Linked DNA regions of Tamandua tetradactyla. The protein of the gene in region 1 interacts with the protein of each later gene in a pairwise test. Links are inferred from orthologs where the notes say so. Each region holds a gene or a part of one and is shown in the gene's direction. Other genes may lie near its edges.

The links.
Region 2: the proteins of TRIM69 (region 1) and IYD interact in binary tests that used the Homo sapiens proteins (3 or more experiments, as listed by UniProt). The two-hybrid records come from large-scale screens. The link is inferred for Tamandua tetradactyla from reciprocal best matches to the Homo sapiens genes TRIM69 and IYD.
Region 3: the proteins of TRIM69 (region 1) and NEK8 interact in binary tests that used the Homo sapiens proteins (3 or more experiments, as listed by UniProt). The two-hybrid records come from large-scale screens. The link is inferred for Tamandua tetradactyla from reciprocal best matches to the Homo sapiens genes TRIM69 and NEK8.
Region 4: the proteins of TRIM69 (region 1) and FAM110A interact in binary tests that used the Homo sapiens proteins (3 or more experiments, as listed by UniProt). The two-hybrid records come from large-scale screens. The link is inferred for Tamandua tetradactyla from reciprocal best matches to the Homo sapiens genes TRIM69 and FAM110A.

Annotation. Positions count from the first base shown.
Region 1 is NC_135340.1:59,105,889-59,112,924, forward strand, and holds the start of TRIM69 (E3 ubiquitin-protein ligase TRIM69), read left to right. Parts: upstream 1-4,019; 5' UTR 4,020-4,614; exon of another isoform or gene 4,615-5,102; intron 5,103-7,036.
Region 2 is NC_135328.1:141,842,793-141,850,245, forward strand, and holds the start of IYD (iodotyrosine deiodinase 1), read left to right. Parts: upstream 1-4,449; 5' UTR 4,450-4,541; coding exon 4,542-4,719; intron 4,720-7,453. UniProt on the Homo sapiens protein: Catalyzes the dehalogenation of halotyrosines such as 3-bromo-L-tyrosine, 3-chloro-L-tyrosine, 3-iodo-L-tyrosine and 3,5-diiodo-L-tyrosine.
Region 3 is NC_135332.1:51,919,679-51,927,545, forward strand, and holds the start of NEK8 (serine/threonine-protein kinase Nek8), read left to right. Parts: upstream 1-4,863; 5' UTR 4,864-5,439; coding exon 5,440-5,525; exon of another isoform or gene 5,526-6,295; coding exon 6,296-6,442; exon of another isoform or gene 6,443-6,731; coding exon of another isoform or gene 6,732-6,778; exon of another isoform or gene 6,779-7,867. Other genes in the region: RPL23A (large ribosomal subunit protein uL23), read left to right, coding at 1-165, 1,185-1,361, 1,912-1,981, 2,176-2,190; TLCD1 (TLC domain-containing protein 1), read right to left, coding at 2,783-3,166, 3,566-3,648, 3,740-3,822, 4,158-4,351. UniProt on the Homo sapiens protein: Required for renal tubular integrity. May regulate local cytoskeletal structure in kidney tubule epithelial cells. May regulate ciliary biogenesis through targeting of proteins to the cilia.
Region 4 is NC_135327.1:22,723,183-22,730,080, forward strand, and holds the start of FAM110A (protein FAM110A), read left to right. Parts: upstream 1-3,891; 5' UTR 3,892-4,150; intron 4,151-6,898.

The DNA of each region.
Region 1 (7,036 bases):
AGACTTAAACCATTTCAGTAACAATACAAATACAATACAAAATCAGAAACGGTACCAAATCTCATCAAAGTCAGCTACAGGCGTGTTCTAAGGCAAATTCTCCTTTGGCTCTGGACCTGCAAAACTCAGAACAAGTTATCTGCTGCCAATATACAAAGGAAGGACAGTCATAGGATACATATTCCCATTTCCATAGGGAGAAATTGGAAAGAACACAGGGGTCATAAGACTCAAACAGTTCTGGAAATCTGTAGGACAAATGCCATTAGATTTCAAAGTCTGAGAGTCATTTATCCTCAGGGCTTTGGAAAGTGGCATTCCCATCCTTTCCAAGGGCCTATGTAGCCACCAGGCTCTGTCCAAATGTAACCTTGGGGGACATTGGGGAGACCATCTTTTTCTCAGCTCCACCTTCTCCAAGCATCAGGGCAGCACCTGAGCTCTCTGCCATCTCCGGGGCACATGCTCAACCCCTCCGAAACAATGGGGTGGCAGTCAGGCTTTCCCAATCCCCAAGGAATGTGCTCTACCCTGTCCAAGGCCTGAGGCAGCACAACTCTTCCACTTCAGTGAGTTGGAAGGCCCACCCTCTGCTTCCAGGAAAACTCACCCTCTCCAAGTGCTTGGGTGGATCTGTTTTCCTGGCCCTTGGTTTCTTGACTTCAGACCTTAGCTTCCATAGTTCTGCCTCTGAAGTTATTTTTCCTTCAATTTGTCCCTTTTCTATTCCTTTTAATCCAGACTGGTAGTGGTTCCATTTATTCAGATCCCACAACATTCTTGTTGGTTTCCTATTCAATAGGTTGGGATCGTGCCCATCAGACAAAAGGACTTTCCACAGATTCTTACTGGGTAACTCCATCTCCAATCCTAGCCTTTTCTGAAATAGCTAACTGGTTCCACATTTGGTTAAATCTTCACATGGGGCACTATTCTCTGGAGTCTCCCTTTCTGGAAGCTCAGAATTTTCCAGACCATCAATTTTGTTTTTTTATACACAAAAGTTCAGTTCTCAGCTTATCTCTTTCCTGTTGCATTTCACTATAAGCTGCAAGGAGAAACCAGGCTGCACTCTCCACATTTAATTTGGAAATCTCTTCAGCTAAATAGCCAAGTTCATGGCTTTTAAATTCTGCCTTCCATCTAAAACCAGTGGTGAATTTTGCTAGATTCTTTGCCATTTTAAAACAAGGGTCACCTTCCTTCCAGTTTGCAATAACACATGCCTCATTTCTGCCTAAGGCCTTATCAGAGTTATCTTTAGAGTACACATTTCTACCAACAGTATCTTCAAAGCACTGCAGGCCTTCTCTATTAAGCTCCTTACAATTCTTCCAAAATCTTCCCCTTATCCATTTAAAAAGTCGTTACAACATATTTGGTATTTGCAAACCACAACAGCACCCCACTTCTCCAGTACCAAAATTTTCTCTAGTTTGAAAGCTGCTGGAAAGCATTATATCAGAAATGGAACATCTTTTTAAAAGGGGAACTTATTAAGTTGCAAATTTACAGCTCTAAGGCTTTGAAAATGTCCACCTCTTCCTAGAACAGAATCTAGGATAAAACTTTCAAAACACCATTGTTGCCTTTATTAGAAAGAGAATGCTAGGCAACATGAAAACTCTGCATGGACTAAATGGTCCATTCCTTATTTGCTATTAGAAATTCAAATGTACAAACACCTTTGTTGGTCTCTCCAATTTTACATTTATAAAAAAATAAGCACTGGGGACAAGATGGCCAGTTCACAGTGATAATCTATGAAGGTTTGTAGTCAAAAGACATAGATTTGTGTCTCTCCATGCCACCTGTTAGCAGAATAGTGAGCATTAAAATAGGTATGCCTAAAAGCAGATTTTAAAGACAATTTCTGTTTAAACATCTTTTTTTATATCACCTGTGCTGGTCTGGAGCTATTATGTAGCCCAGCAAAAGGTCACGTTCTCTTAATCTGTCTCTGTAAAGGCAGAACTATTGTGGATGGGACCTTTTGGTTCAACTGAGATGTGACCCAGCCCATTCAAGGTGGCTCTTAATCCTGTACTGGAGGCTTTTATGAGAGTATAGATAGAGAAATGCCCAGAGACATTTTGGAGAGAGCCATTTGAAACCAGAACCCAGGAGAGATGGACCAGCAAACGTTGTTTTTGCTTTTCCACATGACAGAGGAACCCCGGATGTCAGCAGCCCTTCCTCAGAGGAGGTATCTTCTCCATGAAGTTTTTATTTGGACATTTTCATGGCCTTAGAACTATACATTTGTAATAAATAATTAATAAATCTCCATTGAAAAAGCCAACCCATTCGGATATATTGCATTCTGGCAGCTTTAGCAAACCAAAGTATTTTGATTCACCCTGGTTGTAGCAGCAATAAAATGTGTGATATCAAGCAGAACTATCTTGAAACATTTGTTTCTAGTCCAAAATAGAGCTTTATATTGTATTTTTCCTAAATCTATGTACTCTTCTCTTCCAGATGATCATAATTGCAAAGCAGACCTTGCTTTGACATCCAATGGCAGGACGAAGGTATACTATCACTCTTCTGTGGATATTCCATATGAGCACCCAAAACCTATCCTTCAGTCAGATCCTGTGCATAATAACGAAGAAACACATGAACCAGAGTAGAAGAAAAGATGAACATATTGAGCAAGGACTCATGATAGAACAACTTAGCAAAATATTCTTTACCACCAAGCACCGATGATATCCTCATGGACAGTATCACCTATGTAGAAGGAACCCAAATCCCACAAAAGAGATGATTTTCAGGTTCTCATTAGGAATCAAAGAGAAATGTTATCTTCTGGCTCATTTGCCATATGAGAAAATGTAATCTGGTGTACTTACTAATATGTTGTATAGTAAAATAGTAATAAAATATCTTTTCATAAAAAAAAATAAGCACTTCCTCAAAATCCTCATACTGACTCTTGGATGAAGTAGCAACCCTTCCTCGGTACTTAATGGTGTTTCTCTTGAGGTAAGTGCCCCTTGGCCTCCTCATTCTCCCCAGTACCATCAGAAAATGGAGTGGGGAGTGGCACTCAGCTTCAAGAGCCATAGTATATAACAGTGGTATAACTTTATTATAATGTACCAGTATCAGAAATTTTTGTGCATGCATTTCATATATATATATAAAACACTATATATTTTATATATATATTACTATCAATCTTTTTTGTTAGTTTTTTTTTAATTTAAGAAGACAAACAATACACTTAGCACCACCAACAATGGATATCTTAGCTTAACCATAGACATATTTAAATAAAGTAGCCATATAATCATTGTAAAGCCTGTGTTTGCATAGTAAGTTTCATAAACCAATTTAAAATTAAGGCAACAAGGAAAAAAATCTATATATTCAGATAGCAAAGTTCTTAAATTCTAAGTATTAAACACTAACTTAGATACCATTTGATCAGCTGTCAAAACTGTGAATGTTCTCAAAATATCAAGTAGAAAGTTCTTTTAAATATCTGCATTGCTATAGTAATGACTTATGTTACTAAGCATTTTCCTGCTGTCAGGAAAATATGAAGATACAAATATTTTTACAATTAACATATGGAAATCTTCCTTTTTTTTTTTTGCTTGGGCAGGCAACTTATGGAAATCTTAACCACCTAAAATGGATGTCTAAGTTAGCTTATCCATAGGCATATTAAAGAAAACCTAAGTAATCATTGCAAAGCCTGTTTGTACAATACGTTTCATAAACCAATTTAAAATTAAAGCAAAGAATGAAAAAAAATCTATAAATACAGATATCGGAGTTTCTTGAATTCCAAATATTAAACAGTATCTTAAATACCATTTGATTAACTATCAAAACTGTGTGCATTCTCAAAATATCAAGTAAAAAGTTATTACAAATATCAACTTTGCTATACTACTATCAATTTTATTTTAGATATTTCTAAAGTTTAATTTTTCTCTTACTTTTTCAGAGAAAAGTTCAGATTGAGTTGTCTCATCAGTGGCTCCCCAGAAGATCCACTCTTGTAGGATCACAACAGTTGTGGGGGTGGAGATAGAACAGGAATCAGAATCAGAGTTCAAAGATAGTGGAAAATCTGGACTTAAAATTTTTAGAGTAACTAACCCATATCGGTGAGACATTAAGAACTTTAACATTCGTTTCTAAACTTTGGCACAGATCGCTTATTTCTCTGAAGGCTGGATCCAAAAAGCATAATGATTACAAGAATATGCTGTGGTAGCATGGTAAATTCCAGACAAGCCCATAAGCAAGATGGGGAAGGAAGCACAACTCCTGAGATGGTCTTGGAAGCAGAACTGATAGAATTCAGGGGAAGTGATGGAGAGGAAGTGATCGACCTCACTCGTGAATCTGTAGAGCCACAAGGCCACTCCAAAGCCATACTGGCAGCAGGGTGGTAAGCAGTGATGGAATGGCTGATGAGGAACAGAGATGCGTATGTGACTAATAGTGCCCACCACAATTTCCTGGAAGAAGGAATTTTATGTCGCCTGCTCTTTGATTATATCCAATGTCGAATTTGCACGGATGGATACTTGGAGATTGAACAGAGTAGTTGATGCATCTATTCTACAGAATGTGACCACATCTTCTATAGTAAGTGTCTCTACATTTCCCTTAAATATACTAAAACTTGCCCAATTTATTTGGTAAAAATCAGCCACCAGCACTTCTGCATCTATATATGATGCAAACAGTGTTGCTATATACAGATACCCTGCTGGGTATTTTTCCATGTCTTTGTGCAGGAATTATAGGGTCTTGACCTTCAATGCGCTGAGCTCAAAAAGTCTAACTTTAAAAATTTTCATCTGGAATAAAGAAAAATGTCCTTTGATTCCCATGTATTATGAGATGCTACTTTTTATTTTCTTTGGTTTCATGCTGCAGGGCCATACTTCATTTGTCTTAGTACACCAGAGACTGGTAGTTACCCCTCAAAGCAGTTTACCCTTTATTTCTCATAGCAATAAAATTTTAGCTGGCTGCATGTAGCCATTTTAGATTATGTAAATGAGGACAAGACCCTAGACATGATAGAGCAAGTAGACGGAAGGAAACTAAGAGACTGACAACTTTGCAGATCAGAGCTACCATACAAGTTTGAACTCTTAATCAAGAGAGATATACATTTCATTCTTGATTAAGCAACCACTATAATGTGTCTTGGCTAGATTAATGGAAACTATACTCTAATTAATGGATTAGGCAGGTTGCTGCCTCTGGGTTTCTCTGGATTTTCTGATTCTGTAGGAGTGGAAGGAAGTCAATCCTTTCTGACTACTTCTCTAACTACGAGGGTGAAGGGGGTGGTATATGGGTAGGAATTCTCCTGGGACTTTGCCCACCTCGGGAGATACCCAGGCACAAAATTTCTAGAGTCATTGTTCTGTACTTTTCTGCAACTTGCCAAGCCAGAGAGGGGCTGCCCTCACCCTGGCTTTACAGGTGTGCTTGCCACTCTGGTCAGTTAAGCAGCAGGTCAGCATACTTCTCTGTGAACAAAAAGATTACCTCATCATCATCCCAGCTGCTTCAGTAGCTGAGTGGGTCAGAGCTTTGGGAAGACCCCCCACTAGCCCCCACTTCCTCTGCAGAGTCACAAAGCACTCACAACTCAGTCTGAACTTTAGAACTGGAAGGGGAGCGATCCCTGCTCTCTTTTCCTGAGATTGAGATGTCAATAAAAGCTTGTTCTTTTCTTGATTATCTATGGTTGTAGCAGTGTTGATTTCCCCCCTTAGAGATTCAGTTCTGCCAATGGTGAAGTGTCCATTCCTGCTTGTCTGTCTACTCGTCTTCTTTGGAACGTTGCCCATATCCTAGGCCCCAATTACTTAACTTGGCACAGGATATATAAGATAAATGTGGTATACACCCTACTGTTGGTCTCTTCTTCTGTTCTAAAGTAAAATAAGTAAGAAAACTAACATGAAAATTAAAATTAAAATTTAGAAAAGTGTTCTCAATATTTTCATCCCACATTTCAATAGATCGTTTTGTGCATCCTACTTTGGAGACTGTAAATTGCTCTGTGGCAAAGCATAGTGTGTCACAAATTTGGCTAATGATTGAAATACGTAAAGTACCTATTAAATTCTTTGGGTTCTGCTTTTGCATGCATTATTCCTTGGGGTCATGATAAAGAGCATACGCTCTCCAGTTTGCCTCAGTCTTCAATACTCCCTATCGTATTTTACCCAGCCACTTCACGTTTCCCTTACCTGCCAAGCTCCTGTAGAAATTTGTGTTCTTGATCTTTGTTTTAAAAGAAAAAGACAAAGAGGATTCTTACTTTTTAAAAAATTGAGGTTGAATTCACATACAATGATCTTAAATGTATAATTAGATGAGTTTTAGCAAATATATACATTGATGTGACTAACATCCCAATCAAGATAGAGAACATATCTTGCCCTAGAAAGTTCCCTGTGCCCTCTTCCGTCAATCCCATCCCCCATAGGCAATCACTGTTCTAAATACTATCACCATAGATTAGTTTGGGGACACTGACTTTTGTTACTTCATCATCTAGCTCAGCTCCCCTGGGAGGTAAATATGACAGGAATTTGGAGTATAAGCACTAGGGGGTATCAAGGGCTTGTTTCAGTGGAGGCATGCCTTACATTGTCTCTGTTATGAATCTGAGCAAGAAAATATTAATAATGACACCTGTTATGTTCAAAACACAGTACGAGGCACTTCACACATCGTAGGCAGTCAAGGTACAGATCTAGGCAAGAGCAAGGACCTTATAGAATATAAGAACAAAAGCTGAAGGGAGCTGCCACAGGGCACGTTACTATGAGTAAGTTGGTATGACTATTGTACATGGTTGTGTGAAGAAGTGAGAACTCATACTCAAAAAAGAAAATCAAGGCCATATTATGAGTACTTGAGGGTGCTATGTTATGGGGTTTGGATATTTTCTAAAGGCGCAAGGAGCCTTTAAAGACTCTTGAGGGGAGTTGCCGGAGAAGGATTCTTAAAGATTCAGCATGATCCCTGTTGCAACAGA
Region 2 (7,453 bases), on another chromosome or scaffold:
CCAAAGAGGCCCTTTAGGGAAATGAAATGGTTAAATGGACACTGATTCTGAAGGAAATAATAAAAATAAATAAGTGGCATAAAAGTAAATCACCCTAAAAAAAAATACAAAAAGGCAAGTCACCCTCCACTGCGCCTGTCCTTAGCATTTGCTCCCCTCTCTTAACTGGACGAGGAAAAATGTGTTGGGAAAACAATGACCAGAAGTCATCCGTCTGGTCCCTCTGAACCCACACAAGCTCTGCTTCTATAGTAGACACCAGTCTGAAACCATGATATTATCAGAAGCTGTCATCATAAAGCTTGGTGGCGACTATGAAGCATTTTGCTGTCTTGGTTTTTGGATGAGGGGAAGCCCTGGCTGTGGAGACTGTTTTGGTTGTAAAGGTCCACAAAGACTCACTGGGTCCAGCTTGGGTGGGTACAGCAGGAATCCTTATGGCGTGGAAGGGGAATGATCTTGAGGACATCTAAGAACAGGAGCCCTGGAAAGGCCACTCTTAGCTGAGACAAGCCCTGCATGGCACATTCGGTATTAGAATGGGAGCTTGGGCGTCTTCCATTATTACCTTCTTTGGCTCCTTCCACTGTCTGGTCCTCTCATCTTTAGCTGGTAACAACTGCCAAATTCTTTTCTCTGTGCTGTCTCTATTTTATTTTTTTTAATTAAAAAAAATTTTTTTTAGGTTGCGTGGTCTAGGAATTGAATCCAGGACTCCTGCACGGAAGGTGAGCATTCTACTACTGAACATTTAACATTTCTTTTCTGCCGTCCTCCCATGGAAAGCCACAACCTCTCCCTCCCTTAAGCCGTTCCCCAACCAGGCTATCAGCTCCATGTTCTCAGGAGTTTCTCACCTACCACAGGCTCCCTCAGCTCCTCACATCTGCGCCCCTCATTATTCTTCTCACCCCAGTGTTGGGTGAGCTTCTTTTTCCCCCAAACATACCCTGGAGGACCTCTTTTTCATCCACAGCTTTAGTTATCACTCCTGTGCTATAGACTTCCAAATGTGTATGTGTGGTCTGACCTTTTCCTTTAAGCTCTAGAACTGTAGATCCTACTCCTTAGTTGACATTTCCATGTGGATGGCTGAAAGATGCCTCCCTCTGCTGTGTAAAGAGCTGGACCTGTGATTCCTCCCTCTCCCACTCCCAGCACCCCAAGAGCTGCTTCTCTACCATTGGCACCAATCCATCTTGAACTGCAAGCTGAAACACTAGACATCACCACTGACACTTATTTTAGTGTCTTTCTCACCCTCCATGTCAAATTCATCAGCAAGCTCTGTGGACTGAACCGTCCAAATATGTAGTGAGTTCATTGCTGTCTGCACTTTCACCATGAGCTAGGTCAGGCTGGCAATCATTTTCTACCTAAACTGAGATGGTAATTTTCCAACTGGTACTTCTGTTTTTGCCCTTACCTGATCCTTCTCTCTAATGCAGTGGTCTTTTCTAACCATTAGAGACATATTTCACGGGAATAAAATGCACAGGGCTCTGGGTACAGCTTGCCTGGCCTTGGGCATGTGTGCTGCTTCATTTTCCTCATTCAAGCGTTGTAGGTAATAATGGACTTTTAGTATGGAGCTGTTGGAAGGTATATAGGAACTGAGGACATAACATGCTCAGAAGAGAATCTGGAACCTCATGGTAAGCTCTTGATAATGCCAGCTGCTGTTGATCCATAGTCCCATCCCAATGTCCCATTCTTATTAGGGTAAAGACAAAATTATCCACACCCTACACAGAATGATATGATCTAGCACCCACCTTCCTTTTTGCTATCCCCAAAGACTGACCACCCAATCCATGGAGGTGCTGGCTCCTTCTAGGGATCAGGCTTTGCTTACACAATCACCCCTGCTTTCAGTGCTCCTTCTCCTTCTGCTTAAGTGACTCCTACCCAGAGTTCCGACGTGAGCTCCATCATTCCTTCCACTGGAAAACTTACAAGTAGGCTGAATCTTCCTCTCGCTGCTCTTTAACATTTCTTATGAAAGTGGGGATGTGACATGAATTTGAGACTTGATCTTGTTTGTGTCCTCTTTAACCTGTGGCCCTGTGAAGCAGGTACTGTGTCTGCTCTGCCCATTATTTTGCGCCTAGTATTGAAAGCAAATCCTCTCACATGGTTTCTCAAAAATATACACTGAATGAAGGAGGGAATGAATGATCATCTTGTCCTTCTTTCTCTGCCCTGAGCTAAGCAATCCAGGACAAGAGTCTTCTTTTCCCACTGTAGGTCACCAAATATGATGAAAAGCTACCATCCGGCATAGTTGTTCTTATAGTCCTTAGGTCCTAGGGTTCTCGATGGTCACAGAATCCCCAAAGATTCATTTTGAAGGGCTTGTGGTCTGAAAGTGGAGAGATTCAGGCCACACCTAATTAAGCCACTGTACCTCCTGGGTAATTGGTTCTCTATCCTGAGATGGAGGGTTTCCCACCCTGTCCGTCCCCCACTGGCCTGTCATCAATCCCATCCCTCCCATTTGCTTCAGGTTTGATTCCATTGCTGACACTGGCATGATTTGGGTTTTGTGGTTATGGGAGCAGAAGATTGCATTGATTTTTTGAGAGAAAGGAGACACTTGGACTGAGACTTGGCCAGACCTGGATTCTCATATCCAACAGCCCCTCCACTCTGCATCTCTCTCAGAGGCTGTGGCATTGATCCTCAGGGACCTTGCTTCTCTCTGTACATTTGTTCTGCTTCTCTCATGCTACTGGGTGGTGCATTTATTCTGTATATTTAGTGGAATGTAAAGACTAGCATGGCCATAGCATGGGCTGCTGCCTCTGTGAGGACAGGCTGTGCTGGGCTCCGTGTGGATGGGATCATGTGAAAGCAGACATGGCACGTTGATGCCTTTTCGGCAGGAGGGGAATCTCCTCATGAAATGCTGTGAACATGGCAAGCAGAGCTACCACATTTCAAGCTTCTCATACCACTTCTAGTTCTTCTAGAATAAACTTTGCCTTCAATTTTTTACACAGATCTTTGGAATTAGAACCAGTACAAGACACATTAAAAAATTAGCTGTCTATTAACTATTTTTAGAGTCATCAAAAATGACTATTAAAATATATTTTGATTTTTGAATAGGTAATAATTTCATAATGGTTAAAATTTTTAAAATTATGAAGTACTATACAATGAAAGTTCTATTTCTCTCATCCTTATTCCCCAACTACCTGGTTAGCATTTGTGATGGTTTGAAACTCTTGTGTACCCCAGAAAAGGCATGCTTTTTCAATCCATTCCTGTGGGGCAAGCCTACTGAGGGTGCGACCTTTTGGTTAGGTTATTTCAATTGAGATGTGACCCAGTCCATTCAAGGCGAGTCCTAATCTTTTACTGGAGCGCTTTATGAGAGGATAAAAGACAAGAAAAGGGAGAGAGCTCAGAGGGAAATGCACAGAGGAGCTGAGAGAGAATGCCGCTGGAATCAGAAACTGAAAGCAATGGAACCTGGGAGCAAAGGATCAGCAGATGCCAGCCATGTGCCTTCCCATGTGATAGAAAAACCCTGAATGCCAGCAGCCTTTCCACTTGATGCCTTAGTTTGAATATTTTCATAGGCTTAGAACTGTAAATTTGTAAATGAATAAACCCCATTGTAAAAGCCAGTCCAGTTTTGGTATATTGCATCCTGGCAGCTTTAGCAAACCAAAATACCACACCTCTCCAAAACAGGTAACCAAGTTTTATTTTCCTTTGAAATATGGACTCATAAGAAGTTACAAAGCTAGTACAAAGAAGTCCCAATACAGCCACTTAAAAATTTTTATAGTATATTAAATTGAAGGAATATTATTAATATACAACACACACTCATATAGTATTTCCATTCTGTTTTACTGAAATGGAATCACACTATGCATACTTTGTACCTTGCTAAAAAAGTAATATCTCTAGTTAGCAAGGTATTAAGTAGGTAATTAATCAAGCTGTCTTTTTAACTAGACACTTCGTGTCACTTTTCCTGGACCTAAGTTTTTTTCCTCTAATGCAAAACATGAGAATTTCTTTACTCCATATGTTGGCTCAAATTTCCAGGTTTCATTAAAATAATAATGATAATAATAAAAACTAGCCTTAGGGTTATGTTTCACAAGCATGCTGTTTTAAAATGCAGATTACCATGCCTCTTGACTGAAAATGTCTTTCCCCAGCTCTGAGTTGGTACCTGGAAATGCGTTCTTTACAAAACAAGTTCTCCAGGTTATACTGAGCTTCTGGCAAGTTGAAGACACAGCTCTCAGAGAAAAGCTACTGCCTAACACTATATTGATCGATAGGAAATGTTCAAAAGTGAACTGTACTCGGGAAGGATAAACCCACAGCACACACCCCACGGCTCTGTGATCTTTGCTCTTTTGCTAAGTCCTCACCGGGCTGGGAGGTTCTGCACTTCATCCCTTCCCCCTGGCACACCCCTCAGCCCTTCTTTCACCCCCGGAAGTTCCTGTTCTGGTCTCTGTTTAAACACCTGGGTGAGAAGTGCGTGCTCGCACCGGTTTGGACTCTGCACCATGCTGTGTCTGACCCCTATCCTGGTGGCAGTCATCTGCATCTTGGTGGGGTGGATCTTTAAAAATGCTGACAACAGCAGAGAGAGAAGGAAGGGAGAGCCTGGAGCCGGGGCCCAGTCCCGTCCCTGGGTGGACGAAGATTTAAAGGATGACACCAGTCTCCACCACCAGGGAGAAGGTAAAGACGCGCGGCGCTGTGTGGCTTCGGCATTCAGCATTTTTATCGGTGCAGGTTGATGGCCCGGCTTATGGGGAGAAAGATGCATGGGCAAGTCAGGCCCAACCTCACCTTGAATGGTGCAAAGGGATTCGTGTTTGACAAAGACAGACTGTTCCTCTCAGGTGGGCAGTTGGCATCTGCTGGCATCTGCTGGCACAAACCCACCTTGGTTCCAGGATTCTTATCGTAAAAGCTGTTCAAGGGTAGGCGTTTCTCCCTGGCTCCAGTCCTGGGGTGACTTTTTAAATCCTTCTGAAGATTCACACTGGGCTGGCAGAGGGTCGGGGTAAGAAGTTGTTTCTTAATTTTAAAAAATTGTTTTTATTAGGGCAGTTGTAGGTTTCCAGAAAAATCATGTAGAAAGTAGTTAGATTTCCCTTTACTCTCCTCCTCACATGCACAGATATCCCTATTATTAACATTTTGCATGTGAAGATTTCCCTATTTATTAGCATTTTGCATTAGTGTGTTTTTGTTACAATTGATGACATGATAGTATAATAATTCCTCTGTTAACTTTAGCCCACATTACAGTTTGCTTTTGTGTTGTACAGGTTTGAATGTTGGTCTTCCATCCTGTCACTTTGCTGAATTCATTTATTAGCCCTGGCGTCTTTGTTGTGGATTTTCCAGGATCCTCTGTGTATAGGATCATGCCATCTGCCAATAGGGAAATTTTTACTTCTTCATTTCCAATTTGGACGCCTTTTATTTCTTTCTCAAAGAGAAAGCCTCAGGTTGTCCTATTGGAACAAGTGAAATTCCAACACAAAAGTTCTCTAGTCAGTACCAGATTCATGGAAGTTTTAGGGGAGGTGGCAGCGGACTTTTCTACCTTGAGTGTCACTGGCCATCCAAAAGCTTTCATGCTAACTGAAATTTTAATTAAATGTCCCAGGTTGTCCATTTCAGCAAAGAAAGCCTTTTTTTAACTTACGTGGGTGTCACCTGTGCATAAAAATGTTCCCACAAGCTTGGGGAATGACAGATTGTTATATACCCATGGTAATAAGTAGCTGTCAGAACCATTTTTGAATCTAGTCAGGGGGTCAATGGCAATTCAGTAAGCACGCTTAACAAGCCAACTATCCACGTCAGCCTCTTGCTTCTGACAGTCAGCCAGTCAGGACGGATGCACTCCAAGGTCAGTGCCCCCTCGTGCCAACCCATCAACGACTGTCCCAGCCCTTACACTGCTCCTCCAAATAGGGTCAACCCATTCACACCTCTGAAAGCCCACTAGTTGCTGAGGTCCAGGCTTTCCCACCAAGAGCTCACCTATGTGGGTTAGCAGGAGCTACTACTGATAAATATTCAGGAATTGTCTGGGTCATGTGCTAAATCATCTGGAGTTTGAAATCAGGCCACAATGGAAGACTTTATACTACTGAAATGGACAAGTGTTCTAAATCTGGGATTTAAAAAATTTCCTCCCCGGGAGCGCTGGTTTATCAGCACAGCATTCCAAAATCTCTATATAAGGTCAGCATTTTGCTGCTCTGGGAGGGAATGCACTTTGCCAGCATTGTTTTTCTTTTTTGTACTAATAATTAATAGTAAGTGTGTCACCCTTGGGCACACCCACTGATTAATTTTTTTGACTAGCTAATTTAAAATGTTGGTTTGGCAGAACCTCTGTAAGATTGCAGGCTTCTGGGATGCAAGACAGGTACATTTAGATGAGGGAATGTTAGGAAAGGGGAAGGAGTTGAATGAAGTCATTGCCCTTGGGTTCAAGCCTGAGTGGGTCCCACTGGGGGAGACTTAAAATCAGCCTGGCGATACCCCAAAGAGATGAAGAGGCTCAGAAAACAAACTCTATCACCCTTACTCTATTGCTGCAGGATAGCATTGCTTGCTCTAGCCAATGTCTTTGCATTAGCCTCCCAGCCCCAACCCTACTGCAGATAGGAGTGGATGACTGATATCCCCAGTGGGATCAGTGCTTTAGAGTCCAAACTCAAGTGCCAGATAAATGAGTCCAGGCATGGGCTCACTCCAATAGAAGGGCATCGAAGCGCTGACCAGAGGTCTTCTTCCTAGAAGGTCACACCCACCCGCCTGCTCCCCTGGAAATGTAGTCCTGGCCTAAGCAGGGAGCAGAGTTATGCTGAGGTTGTAGAAAATGGGATGTCCTTCAGGCAGCTCCTCAGCCCTGAAGTTGCTTCTTCACCTTCAGAGTGTGTCTACTGGGATAGCTGCCTCACCCGCCTGCATGGACATGGCTCCTCAAGGGCCCTGACATGCTGAAGAGAGGAAGGAGGATGAGGTGTGCAAGTAGATCTTACTCATTCGTAATTTGAATCATTTGAGGCCCATTTGCAAAGATTTTGAAATCAAACCACCACCACAACAAAGTAACTTATTTAGAGAAACAGCTGGAAAAATACCTTCATGCTAAATCAGGCCACAAGACTTTATACTACAGATGTGGTTAGGAGTGTTTGACCGGTAAACCTGATTATGGAGCAATTTAGAGATTCTTTGGCATCACAGCAAAGAAAAAGAGTGAGTGTTCTTGGCATCAAGAGCAACCCCCGGTTCCCCCCCGCCCCCCGCCCCATCTACGGTAGAGGTAGGAGATGAAAGGTTTGCTACGGAGGCTGTGCTCCTTCCTCTGGGTAAGAGCCTTACTCCTTGAGGCACTCAGGGGCTCAGTGGCAGAAGCAAAGTGGTACATTTGCTCACTACC
Region 3 (7,867 bases), on another chromosome or scaffold:
CGAAGCCAAAGCAAAGGCTTTGAAAGCCAAGAAGGCAGTACTGAAAGGTGTTCACAGCCACAAAAAAAAGAAGATCCGCACTTCACCAACATTCCGCCGGCCCAAGACGCTGCGTCTGAGAAGACAACCCAAATATCCTCGGAAGAGCGCCCCCAGGAGAAACAAGTCAGTACTGCCCCTGTATAATATTGGTAGAAATTCTGTTTAAATCAACTCAGAGTCGCTCAGATTTTCTGTTCGCGTTAGTTACTGCTCATATGTAGTCAGGGCTTGAAAATCCGCTTTCTTGGGAATATCGAGTAGGACTTAGAAGTTTTCTATCTTGGTCTGGTGTTCAGTACAACAATACACAGAAAGCTTTTCATACGCTTCTCCCAAAATTTCACGGTGTGCTTAAGGAAAGGTTGGGACACTTCGGTGTTTTGGTGTTAAGTTACTGCTAATAACTGGCTTTGGGGATCAGAAATTAATTAGCCATGGTGGGGGTCACCAATGGGTTTCTTGCCACTCCCACTGCTTAAGGAAAGACAGCAGAATGGATTGTGTTGATGAAAGACTTTTTTTCCTCCTATTCGACCTAGAATTTAGAATGATAAATTGAGACCTGACTCTTAACTGCATAGTAGTGTCTGGGTGGGCAGAGCCTGGCTTGTCTGAATTTCAGGGGAAATGCTGTGTTTTAGGTTTACACAAGCCACCAAGTTTAAACTGAGCTGCAAATTAAAGTTGCTGTTAAAAATTGGTGGCCTTCGAGCATAGAGCCAGCGTTCAGCAACCAAATGGGGCAGAAAAAGTTGGTCTGGCTTCACAGAGGAGCACTAGCATTCTGTATAATCCTGGCCTGGGTTTCAAGATTCCATTGTCTAGCTTTGTGCTCTTGGGGAAGTTGCATAACCTCTTAAGTCCTTCCTGTGAAACTCTACTTTGACCTTTAGGTATGTTGAGGTCAAATAAGATAGTGAATATGAAAGTGTTTGGGACTCAAGATGATTCCTTAATTAAAGGATGAGAGCTCCAGGTCCCTAGGTTTTAGAGTGCAGATGATGACACCTGTTAGCGACCAAAGTCTGACAGAAATGATTGCTATCATTGTCTGATGCACTTGTGCTTTCCTGGCCTTTTGTTCCAAAACAGGGGCCCCTACTGGGCCCTGGCCAGTTGACCCCATCTTATCTCTTCCATAGGCTTGACCACTATGCCATCATCAAGTTCCCTCTGACCACTGAATCAGCCATGAAGAAGATTGAAGACAACAACACTCTTGTGTTCATTGTGGACGTCAAGGCCAACAAGCATCAGATCAAACAGGCTGTGAAGAAGCTTTATGATATTGACGTGGCCAAGGTCAACACTCTGATCAGGTGAGCGGAGCCTCATGGAGTGGGGAGGAGGTTGGGACCACAGCCAAGAGCCTAAATGACATGAAATTCCTTGATGCTGCTCTTGGAGTTATAAGTAGGGTGGATGGTTTGCAGACCTGATGAAATGAGCAGCTGTTGCTGTGATTGTACTCCTTTGTAAGGGGCATCAGTTGTCCTCTCCTTAGGAATTGATTTGTGAGGTTTTGGTGCTTGTTTTTTGTGTGTGTGAGTTTTGTTGTTGTGGTTGTTGTTCAGTTGTTTGTTTTGTCCCTACATCTGTTGGCATAGAGTAAGACAGTTTGTCAGATTACCCGAGTTTGAGTGCTAAAAGGTCCTGGATCCTTTGACCTTTCCCATAAAAAGGAATTGGGTTCATTTGTGGCTTAGTGGATTGTCTAGCCACAGTCTGTGCAAATGATGGAAAAATCACTATTTGGAAAAAAATGACATGAACAAAGGAACCACTGATGCACCAGAAGGATTCAGGGAGGGAGAGGAGGTTTGGGTGGGACAGTGAGGGCAGCAAAAACAGACTCCTTTTCCACCCCAGGCCTGATGGAGAGAAGAAGGCATATGTTCGGCTGGCTCCTGACTATGATGCTTTGGATGTTGCCAACAAAGTAAGCTTTGTGTTTTATAGATGCCTTAACCTCCACCCCAGGTATAAATGATGCATCTGTTAGCGACCAAAGCCTGACTTTAAATGATTAGTTTTAACTGACTGTCCTTGACACAACCCCTACCGTCATTTTGCTTTCTAACCATGACATTCCAACTTAATTTTCCAGTAACAAAGCTCCCTTTTCTTTTTCAGATTGGAATCATCTAACCTGAGTCCGGCTGGCAAATTCTAAATATATGTTTTTTGACCATATATGTGCTTCCTGTCTTTCTCAGTTTCTTGTTGGGTTGGGGAAAACCATAGCGTGGTACACATCTTAGATATAGGGCTTGGGGAAGACTCTGGTCTACTACCCTCTTAGAATACTGTTTCACCCCACCACACTCACTGTAACAAACCTGCCAGGAGTCACTTAGGTACCAGGGACGAGGGTTAGTCACGTGGCTTTAGCTACATCAATCATAGGGATAAGAACCCCTTGTGTGCATTAAACCAGTAGCTAGTTTGGGGTGGGGTGGGGATAATTTCAGCCTTCATTAGCATCCATTTCAGGGCAGTATGTGTTGGCTGGCTTTTGGGTAGCACCCGTCTTCACACACCCATCCAACCGGTTTGTCTGCTTCCCTCACCCCTTGCCCAAGAAAGGACAAGGACTTCAGAGGGAGTGCTTTCATTAGTTTTCTCAATAGTGTGGGTGCAGACTTTCCAAGTGGAGAGGCTGACCTAGAGAATGCCCCAGGTTTGGAGCAAGTCCAGTTTGTAAGATTGTTCTCCTTAGCTGTCCTGGGCCCTGTGGCTCTCATTCAGTCAAAAATTTGTCTTTATGTTGCTGGCTGGGGACACTCTTGGGGCAGAAGTCAGAGCGGAGGAGGCGGGAAAAGTAGATAAGAATCATCATGTCCAACATGAGTAGGATGCCCAGCAGAAAGGAGCCCAGGGTCCGCTGGCCCATGTAACGCAGGAAGAAATGGGTGAGGTAGGCCTGAGGAGCCAGGCGGAAGAGAAAGTACATGACCAAGTTGACATACTTGTTGATCTGGTAGAGGAGGAGGTGCTGGGCATTATTGATCTTCATCATCATGCGGAAGGTGAGGAAGATGTTGCTGACCTCCACCAGTAGTGTTAGGACACCTCCACCAACAAAGCGTCTCCAAAAAATTCCTGAGAAGAAGGCACCCATGGCCTACAGGACAAGGGAGGGAACAGGTTAAAGAGCCCAGGTGCCAAAACTTGCCTGGAAATTGGAATTAACCAAACATCAAATTGGGGGCTGGAAAATTCCTCCTTGATTATGTTTCATCCTGGAATAAAGTTTACTGTGGGTAAGGTGCTTATTTTCATTCATGATAGAATCTCCACTCCTGTCCTGGCTTGGGAGTTAATTAGGTGAGGCCATGGATTGCTGGCCTAAAACGCGGAATATGGGCACAAGAGCAGTGCCAGCCCTCAGTATTATAGCATGAGGGACAGAGGACAAGGGTGGGACTCGGCTCAAAAGATGATGGCCTACTCCCCAGGTTCAGAAAGGCTGTGACTCTTAAGTTGGCTATACCAGGTATATACCAGAGGCCCTGCTTCTCACCATGACGTGATGGACAAGGTATTCCCAAGAAGCTCGTGCCTGACGACTCACCACGATGTCTATTGTGTCGTGGATGAAATAGCCTAAGCAGAAGGATGGGGAAGGCATCATGAAAGGAGCCCGAGGAGAATTCTCCCTGTCCTCCCACCAAATTCTTTCCTGTGTAAGACTTACCTGCGGAGAAGCAAACGAGCAGATAGCCGGAAAGCGACCATGCCGTCTCAATCTCCACCAGCATCTCCGGAGTTTGCCATACACTGGAAAGGAGTAGGGAGGCTCCCATTTCAGTACTCAATTTCCTCTTTACCCTTGCCAGTCATTGGGGGAATAGCGACCAGTCTCTCGCTCCATTGACTGCCTGGGGAGCGAGGAGCCCCTAGGTGGAATCCTGGGTGCTTCGGGTTTCCCAGGTGAGATCCCCCTTCCCAAGGGCTGCGGTCTCTGCTGGTTGGATACAATTCCAAGCGGGGAATCAGGTGAGACGGCAGGGCCTCCGCCCACCAGTGAGTTATGGAGAGGTAATGCGGGAGCCAGTCCCAGCGCCCCGCACGAGTTTCCCGAGCCACCTTCACTCCCATAGTCGGTCACTCACCACAGCAGCGCCCAAACCCCTGACATAATGGAGTGGGCAAAAGAGACGAGCAGGTTGTGCCAGCGCCAGGTGCGCAGGGGGTCGGCGCGCACGTGCGCGGGTAGGGGCAGGCGACAGAGCGCGCGTCGGAGTGCCCGGAAGGTCAGCGTGGCGCCCAGGACCAGCAGCAGGGCGGGGTGCAGCAGTGGGGGCATGCTGGCCCTCCCGGCCCTCTGCCCTCTGCCCTCTAGGCGCCCTCCTCAAGCTTTTCTGGGAACGGGGCTCCCTCTCAGGCCGGTTCGCCCCGAACGCTTCTCCCGCCGCTGCCGGCCTTCCCGCCGGCCAACAGCCTCGCTCAGTTTCGCAAACCCCTCTAGGCCTCTTGGCTCCTCCCGGCCCCTCCCCGCGCAGCCATTTGCCCCCGCCCCCAGCCGCCCGAGCCCCCGCCTAGCCCTGGCCGCCTGCCTCCGCCCCTCCGGCGTCCCTGTAGAGCTAAGAACAAGAGACTATTTCCCCGGGGCCTCCTAGGCCGCGCCTGGCCCCTAGCGAACTTCGGGCAAGGAGGGGCTGTCCTGGAGGCGCTGGCGCCTCCCGACTGCCGATGGAGTCCCCTCCCGCCCTCGCTTGCTTGCTCTCATTAACCCGCGTCCCCACTTTCCCCGGAGCCACCGGCTTCCCCGCCCTGGGCGGAGACTCTGAAAATCTCCCCGCCCTCAACTCCTTCCTGGGCCGAGCTGGGCCGGGGTCCGTCACACACCCACATCTCCCTGGTCTGTAGGGAGGAATCGGAGCCTCGCCTCGGACAATGATCTCCCCCCAACCCCGTTCCTCTACTGGACCACTAACTTCTGTTCAGGTTAGAGAGGGACATGTTTACCTGACTCTACCGCTCGCTGCTTCGAGGAGGTGCTTACGAACTAACCCATCATCACCCTTCCAGCCCGCCCTTGGGCTCCTGGGGCCCGGTGGCTGTCCCAGCCTCCCTTAGGCAGTCCCAGCCCTCTTCTCCCGGCCCCCTGGAGACAGGACGGGGAAGACGGTCAATTTGCTCTGGCTGCTGGGGTGACCCTTCGCTCTTCAGGCCAGTGGCTTGGGGCAGTTGCGGTTTACGGCCACTAGGTGTCAGCCTGTCCTCACCGTGGCGCCGGATCCCCGCCCTCCTCGCGCGAGTTGCTTTTTGGGGGAGGAGCCGCTGACAGCCAGGGGTGAGGCAAAGAGAACGGAAGGAAGGAGAAAGGTGCTGTGAAAGGGAGGGTGAAGCCAGAAGCTTGAAGCGCCAGAGACCCAAGGGCCAAGCCGTTTGATGTTTGCTCTACTCCCCGTGGTTCCAAGGTTACACATTAACCCCTCTGGGGCTCCTGGGTCAACCAAGGCCTGCTCTGTTTCTAGGTGAGAGCACGAATGTTTCGGGTGACGGCTTTCCTTCATTGCGCTGCCCTTTGCTAACAGGACAGTTTTATCCACCAGCCAAGCAGTCGGGGGCCCTCATAGGTCCTTCCAGTAGTCATTCCACTTGGGCGGGTTCGGGTATCCATTTGAGGGGCTGGAGCAGAAGGTAAACACCCCTTTCCTCAACATTACTCATCCAATCAGAAGTAGGGAATCTACCCCCTAGCTAATCAACAGCCTCCTTCCCCTGGTTCCTGAGCTTTTGTGGCGCTCTCGCAGAGCGGGAGACGCCAGAGAGACTTAGATCTCAACGGACTGTCGGTCAAGACCCTAAACGGTCATACTAACCAGCCCCCTACCCTACCTCTGACCAGAAGCCTCGAACCCATCAGTCCAAACGGGGGTCTTTCTTCCTCTCCCCGACGCGTTCAGATAGGCGTCCTCCTCCCTCCCATCTTCCACGGGAACGTTTTCTCTAGCTGAGCGCCCAGGGTAGATCACCCTTGCTGCAGCGTGACGTGTATGGAAGGGGAAGTTAAAGGGTGCTGACGAGCGCGGTGCTCACTAATCCGGACGGACCAGAGACGGTATCACGTCCTTTCCAGGTGAATCAACCTGCACAACTTGGGGTTTCCCCGGTCCCTCCCTTGGAAAACACGAAACCAACTCAGCTCCCTGCTCCACAGACAGAACGCTGACGCTCTCGTTCAGTTTCGATTCAGTTTGTCATTTCCGTGCCGATGAGAATCTGTTCTCTCCTTCTCAAACAGCATCACTCTTGGACACAGAGAGGTCGATCCTTGCTTCCTACCCCTGCACACCTCCCCAGTCGGAGGGGCAGCTTTGGGGGCGAGGCACCCCTCCTGTCTAATCCGGCTTTGCAAGGGCCGGATCCTGCCACGTGTAACAACTAGCAGGTACCGTGCTGGTCACTGAGAGGGGGTGCGCCAAACAGCGGCATATCGTCTCATTTCCTGAGTCCTGCGAGGGGCGGGGCCATGGGGAAAAAACGGTCGCCGGCTTCGGTGTCGGGAGTTTATTGGAAACCCGCACACCAGGACTGCGGAGCTGAACCAAAAGCTGAGCTCGGTTTGCTCCGCGCTACAAACCCCGAGCAGTGCGGGGGCGGGGCTTACAGAGGGCGGGCTTGCGCATGCGCCGTGTCTGGAGGGAGGGGGTTCCGGAAGTGCGACTCTGAGAAATAAGATGGAGAAGTACGAACGCATCCGAGTGGTGGGGAGAGGTGCCTTCGGGTGAGCCAGGGTTCGGGGTGAGGAAAGTGCTCCGGGAGGAAGCAAGTGAGTCCCAGCTTTGGCTGCGAAGCCGCGACTCTTGAGCTCCCGCTCTGGGAAACCCCGCCTAGGCTTCCGGTCGGGGTTCTGGCGGGGAGACTCCTCCGCCCCCAAGGAGGCCACGCCCCCCACAAACAGGCCCCCACCCCCTCAGAGTTCTTTGTTTACTGACTCATTCATTCAGCAAATAGAAAGCGCCAACTCAATATTTGTCAACTGCTGGGCGCTCGGTACATGGTTGTGACCAAAAGAGGCCTGGTATATTCCCTCTCGCAGCCTACAGGCTATAGGAAAACTATATAATAAACAAGACAAATTATTAAAGCAGTTATGAAGTTACAGCATTTATGACAGATATTATCAGGCTGGGAGGATAGAGGACAACACCGAGAATACTTATTTAGGTGGCCAAGGAAGATTGTTTTGAGGGGTAAGATTTAAGCCAAGGTTTGAGGAATGAAGATAGTGGTCTGATAGTGAAGGTCTTTTCAGGGGAAGGAAACAGTATATGGGAAGGTCCTGTGGGAAAGAATTCAGAGTATGCAAAGATCTGAGTAAAAGACCAGGGTAGTTGGACTGAAGTGTATGTGATGAAGAATGGTATAAAATATGGCTGTCCTGGTGGACTGGGACCAGAATTCTGGCATTGTAGGCTGAGGTAAAGGCACTGAATTTATTTGCAGTGAAAGCAGGAAGAGGTTTAAAGCAGAGGAATGGTCTGATCTGAGTTTCAAAAATGTCACTCTGGTTGCTGTGTGGAAATGAGATTTGAGGGTAACAGAGTAAGAGAGACCATTTTGGAGGCAAGAACAATAATTTAGACAAGATATGATGATGATTTGGCCAAGGATTGTAGTAGAGGGTATGGAGAGAACGGATGGACTCACAATATTTTGGAGGTAGAAATCCAAAATTTGGAGGATTTGCTAACAGGTTGGTGTGAGATAGAGGAAAGATTCTGGGCTGATTATGACTTTGTTAAATGGTGGTGCCATTTACTGAGATGGAAGAAATGTTTTGGGAGGACTGGAATCAAGAATTTTATTTTTT
Region 4 (6,898 bases), on another chromosome or scaffold:
TCTCTATGTTTAACTTTTTGAGGAACCACCAAACTGCTTTCCACACATATGTTTTTTTTTAATAGATAATATATTTACAAGATACAAAATCCAAAGGCATAAACACTATTTTCTAAAAAGCTTTCCTCCCTCCCCTGTGTCCCAGCCACCCCAGTAACCTCCACTTCCAGAGAAGTTAGATGCAAGCAAATTTGTATGGCAATAACACCCTTTAGATTAAAAGAAACAAAATAAAACACAGCCATGGGCACCCAGGAGACACAGAGCTGACATCTGAGGCTAATGGAGACACAGAGCTGACATCTGAGGCTAATGGAGACACAGAGCTGACATCTGAGGCTGATGGAGACACAGAGCTGACATCTGAGGCTGATATCATCTGGATTTTGAGCTGAGTGGAGAAAAATCTACCAAGCTCAGGGCTCTGGAGGAGACGAAGCCCACAGTGAACGAGCCACGGGCCTGTCAACAGGGCAAGAGGTTATTGCTGTTCAATCGTGCTGGGCCAGGGTGAGGCCATCAGGGCTGCCCAGCTCCGGGCGCAGCTCATGACAGCTTGTCCACCTTCTTATTCTTATACCCCCACCTTGGGGGTGGACAAGGCCTGGGACACTGTCAATCGCTCCAAATTGGCACTGGGTGCTTAACAGGTCCTTGATGATCGGGGACATTGCCAATATGCTGCTGGCAGATGCAGATGTCCAAAGTTCTCAAATCTGACTGCACCCATATCATCTCTCTTCAGTGGCATAATCTGGGGTCCCGGGGAAGTTTGTTGTACTCTTGTTTGCCTCACTTCTTCATTTGGGAATGAGCTTTTGAGTTTTTGTTTAGTTTTGTTTATTTTAAGCCCGAGGGTTTGCAGGACAAAGGGAAACATTGAAGATGTCAGCAGGGCCTTTCATCAAGGCATCTCAATGATCTCCCAACCCCTGATTAAAAGTGTACATCTCAGAGAAGAATCTGACCAGGACACCATGGCTGTCATTCCCATTTTAATGATGGGGACGCTGAGCTCTGGGAGGCACCCTAGCAATGTGTTCACAAGGTCATATGCTTTTGCAAAATTTGCCAAGGTAAGATATTTTAGCTGCACTCTGCTCAAACCACCATCTCTTTGTACTCCAACTTCTCTTTGCCGTAGGTAATGTTGGGGGTAGGTTGGATGACATTGGGGATGTGGCTAAGGGGACTTTGAGTTGAGGACACATTTGCTTGGGTTTAGTAGATATATTTATGCTGTTTCCAGTCACTTTTGTGAATAAATTATTACTAACTGACCTGATATAAGAATGGCTTTCAGGAATATCCCTACCCTACCACAGACACTATGCTTGCTCAACTGGTGTTGCGACATGAAGGTACAAAGTCAGAGGTCATATTGACAAGAATGGGCTTACAGTACCCGACATTAGAAGTATATGGGGAATAGAGGAGAGGTTTGAAATGTACACATGGAGCCAGAAGCTAATATGTGGGAAGAATTTTAGAGGTATGTCAAAGAGGTAATTAATTAATAACAATAATGCCATTTTTTTCTGGGTTTTTTTTGTGTGGAATTTGTCAACTTTTAATACTTTGTTATTTGTTGTGTTTTTTATCTTATTCACTTTTGTGCTTAATTTTATATTTGAAGTTGTGTGCTCTTTTTTTTAAAGACGTCCACTTCAAGTGTATAAGCGTATTGGTTTGTTAATGCTGCTGGAAATGCAATATACCAGAAAGGGAACTGCTTTTAAAAAGGGAATTTATTAAGTCACAAGCTTATAGTTCTAAGGCCATAACAAATGTCCAAACTGAAGTAACCAGAGAAAGATACCTTGACTCAACAGAGGATCTATGAGGTTTGGGGTTTTTCTGCCAGCTGGGAAGGCACATGGAGAAGTCTGCTGGCTTTCTCTCCTGGCTTCTCATTTGGAAAGCTTTCCCTGGGGTTATTTTCCTTTTGCATCTCCAAAGGTCCCTCCTCTGTGTCAGTTCTGAAGTTTTTTCCAAAATGGCTCCCTCTTAAAGGACTCCAGTAAGCAATTGAACAGGTGGAGACATAGCTCCATGGAAACCACCCAATCAAACGAGTCCTAGCCACAATTGGATAGGTCACATCTCCATGGAAACAACTTAATCAAAAAGATCTCACCCAGCAATACTGAGTCAGGACTAAAGAACACGGCTTTTCTGGGGTACACAATAGTTTCAAACCGGCACAGTAAGTATAAGCTGTGGAAAGCCCAGATCTGCCCCTGGTCAGATTTCACTTTTGTTTTACAGGATCACAGAACCCTCTTTGCCTTCTCTCAACACTGCTATTGAAGCTAATGCCAAATAGTTATGCACATTTACAGGGGAACAAAAGAATGGTTCAGAGCTCTGGTTCTGGATCAGGCAAGTCTTAGTTTATTCATCAAAAAAAAAAAAAAAAAGGAAATAATAGGATGTTTCTACTCAGATTGTATTGAAGTCAGATGAGATAACCTGTGTAAAGCCTCGAGCATAATCTAGCAAAGAGCATAGTTAGTGCCAGGTTTCATGTTATCTGGTGCTCACAGGTAGAGCCAGACTCCCTGTTTATGATGCTATCTGTGCTGATTTGGTTGGTGCTTGTGCCAGGGTACACAAATCATTTTTAGCTACTGACATATTGTCAAGTGCCCATCCATTCAGTGGCTGCCCAGGTTATGGACACAGTTAAGTGCTGCATCATTGGCTGAGCAATGAATAAATGAAAGATACCAATTAGAACGAAACAGAAGCTGGCTCCAAATTGAGCAAAATCCTATACCCAGTGAATCACTGTTACAAAATTTCCTCATTTTGAAGGGCCCTTGGAATTAATTTATTCTAACCCCTTTAAAATGTCTTTTTTTTTTTTGACAAATTCAATTGTTGGAAATATGGAAGATCCATAAAAGCACAGAGAAAAAATTAATCGCTGTAATTATAAATAATTATACATATGCACCTGGGCTGCTTCGTTATGCATTTACCATATATTTATATGCAGTAAAAGTTGCTTTGAAAACATGCTTTCTCCCCCCATTTAATACACCCTTAGCATCTCCCCCTTATCTTTAAATATCTTTTAACTACATCATTTTTTTTTCCTTGCATGGGCAGGCACCGGAAATCGAACCCGGGTCTCTGGCATGGCAGGCAAGAATTCTGCTACTGAGCCACCGTCACACCGTCCTTAAAGTATTTTGAAATGATTGCATAATATACCTCATCAGAAAATGGGTGTAGTTAAATGCTCACCTATCTTACGTGGATTATAGTGAGCACGGACAGTTATGTCATATAAAGCTGCCTGGCATGTAAAAAGTTCAATAGTTATCTCTTATTGTTATTATTCCATTTGAAGACCTTATATAACAAATCCTCTTTCACTGGGTATTTGTTTCCATTACTTTGCTATGGTGAATAACACGGGGCTGTATCACTCCTTGGTCACGTCTTCGATCATTTCCTTAGGATAAATTTGGGGGCTGCAGGATATACACATTTAAAAAACTAACCCATTCATTGTGTAGTCGGGGCAATAGAGAGGGGAAGGGGCTTGCCCAAGCTATTTAGCTACTTAGCTGCAAAGCTGGCATCAGAAACCAGTCCAGAGCCGCTCACTGGTGCTTCTTCCAGCTGGGGACCCGGAGGAAATCCCCATTTGGGAGAGGCAGAGGGAGAACGAAAGGAAAGAACCAGGCTCCCTGACTAAAGCAGCCACCGGAAAAAACGAGCGGCGGGCGGGGAGAGAAGCGTCAGGCGTGCGGAGCTGCGGGGCGTCAATCTTTAGACCGACGCTAAGCTGTCGCCTGGCAACCTGCGCGGCGCGGCGTTCGAACGGAAGTGAGGAACCAATCAGGATGTCCGGGGCGAACCATTCCGGCGGGTGGGGGAGGGTGGACAGCGGTGCTCTCACTTCCCCTTCCTCCGCGCCCCAGGGAACCTTCGCTTCGGTGGGGGCCTTTGGAAGATCAGAATCCTTCGCCCTTCTCAGGTGCGGAGAGCAGCTCTGTAGAGGCCCCTGCGGGTCCCCACGAGGGGCTGGATCTTCCCGGCCCGCGGTGGGAGCGGCCACTACCAACCCGGGTCCGAGCTGTCAGCCTTCCCAAGACCCGCGCTGGAGGAGCCCGGACTCACCTGACGCGGGTTCCAGGTGAGGGCGCGGGAGGTCCGGGGCGCGAGCGTGGGGCTCGGGTGCGAGGGGGCGACACTGTTCACCGATCGCCTGTTGTGTGCGTCCTCACCGTGTCGTACCTGCGGGGAGGCGTGGTACCGATTTCACAAATAAGGACCCGGCGGCTCAAAGAGGCCAGTGGCCTGGTCGGGCGATGTCTTGCAGTGAATTCAATTCAGGTCTTCCTGCTCCACCTCGCAGCCCCTAATATAGACCCAGGGTTCTAATTCCAGCCGCTGCTCAGGGGTAGGGGAGGGAGGGGGGAGCAAGCGGGACTGGCATTTCCGGGCCATATGTTGGGTGAGCCGCAGATGCTCTGGCCCCCGGAATCGTTACTGGCCTCTTGTGACTCTGTCCCAGGTTGGGGGCAGGGGAAGTCAGTATAGACGGTTAGACCACACCCCCATGTGGAGTTGGGAGCAGGCCCTACTTTCCAGGGACCCCTATATGCCTCAGGTTGCTATCGTTGGTCTCCTTTTGCAGATGGAAAGACGGAGGTTCTGAGAAGTTAAGGGCCTTGCTGCAAAGTCCCACAGTGAGATTTGGCAAATCTGGAGTGGGCTCCCAGTGCATCAGGCTTCAATCTTAGAATACTAGACATTCAGAATCATAGGATCTGACAGTCTTGGATCCCTTCACAGGGGAGGAGCAGGAACAGTGCTATGCCAAGCCACACTGAAGTCCAAAGTAAAAGGAGAAATCAGAAATAGTGATCCTATCCTGTCTTTATGGTCACACACTTACTGCATAAAATCACACATGTAAATGTCAAATTTCAGTGCTGCAGTGGGAAGGGGGTGAGGGCTCTGAGAGTGCTTACAGTGCCCCTGAGCTAATCTGGGGAGGGCTCTGGGAAAGGGCCATTTGGACTCTGAGAGCTGAAGGTTGGGGAAGCTCCAATTGGGTGGGAACATTCCTGGCAGAAGGAGCATCAGGAGTAAAGGTGTGGGGGTGGGTCAAGCCTGGGGTGGGATGGGGCTGTGGCTGGGGAGAAGCAGAGTATGTCACCAGGGCAGGCCAGAGTCTCCATCCCTGGCATTTGGGCCATATGAGGCCAAGGGATTGGAGGAGACACAGACACACCAGGAGGTAGAGATCTGAGTTCCCGTGTGCTTCTGCTGCTGATTTGCTGTGTGACTTCAGGCACATCTGTGGCCCTCTCTGGGTCTCAGTTTCCCCATCTGTACAGTGGGGAGAGTATCAACACCTGAATTCTTCCGGGCTTTAGGGGTGGGCCCTAAAAAAATGTTTCTAGGATGGAGGTGCTGGGCGAGAAAACCCCTGAGCCAGGCTGGGTGCCTCTGGGCTGGACCTCAGTCCTTCATCTGGAAAATGGTATGAAAAGGTGGCAGTGGTTTAATACGAAGGGCAGCTGGCATCTCTGTTGATGACAATGGGTAGCAGCTACTCTGTGCTTGACAACAGGCTGTCCATGTTACTCTCACTGCCTTGTGATACCCCTGCCTCCTCCATTTCATCCCCTCCCATCTGCAGCATCCTTAGAAAGTGAAAAGTCAGCCAGCTGGGACGTTATTCCAGGAGTGTAATGACCTTCACAACAACTGAAGCTAACATTTATTGAAGACTGTCTGTGTGTTATGCTGTTGGGAGGTCAACTCACATGGCCTCCACCAAGCACAGTCCCGCCGTCTCTGACATGGTTACAAGTGCGTGCTCCTCACCCAGCTGTCTCCCCACTAGGCATTTCTTCCAGGCAAAAAATGATGTCGCTGCAGTGATGCTGCGGTGTGGTTTGTAGTGGGCAGAGACTGGACGCTCACTAAGCGCCCATCAGTAGGAGTAGGAAATAATACCGTGCAGCTGTGAACAGGGCCAAGGACGTTCTTTCTGTGCTGTTGTGGCACCCAGAACAATACATATTATTGAGTAAAAAGAGCAAGGGTGGAAACAGCACACACAGCATGTTGCCATTTGTGTAAAAAAAAGAGAAAGAATATGCATCCTGGGAGGACATAGCTATCTGGTCATAGTGTGCCTGTAGGGAGGGGACAGGGAGGGACTTTGGTTACTCATTTAAAATTTTGAGCCATGTGAATCTATTACCCAACACTATGAATTTATATATTTGATCATGAAAACCACTGCCTTACCCATGATCTGTCACTGACTTGCTCCGTGACTGTAGGTCAGAAGTTTCTTCTGACCTCTAGGCTGACGTACAGAGTCATGAAGGTGAGCCCTGAGGCTCAGTCCCCACTGAAAGCCCCTTGTCCCCGTTCTCAGAGGTGCAAACTGAGGCCTAGAGGGGCCATGTGGTACAGGTGGGCAGCAGGTGAGTCAAGCACCTCTCCTATGGCCTGCTCACCTCTCCCTTCCTGAGGAGAAGGGCCGGATCCTGGGCAGGCCCAGGCGTGAGTGTCCGGAGAGACTCCACAAATAGCACAGCACTGGCTTGGCCCTGGAGGGTGCCAGGCTGCATGTCTCTGACCTGAACAGCTGGGCTGAAATGGAGCTGAGGCTGCCCCACCGGCCGGGGCCCCCTCCCTGCTGCCTGGAGCCTTCATGATCCCCTCTGGGGCAGGTGGGGCCTCCCCGACTCCCGTCAAGTCCCAACTGAGCTACCACTGGAGGGAAAGAGAGAAGCAGATGGAAGGAAGAGGGGAGTGTGCGGAATGCCACGGTACTGTAAACATCAGAAAACACAGCTCCCACCCCCTTAACAAGGGATCAAAATCAGTAATTCCTCTTGAGCACTCACGATGTGCT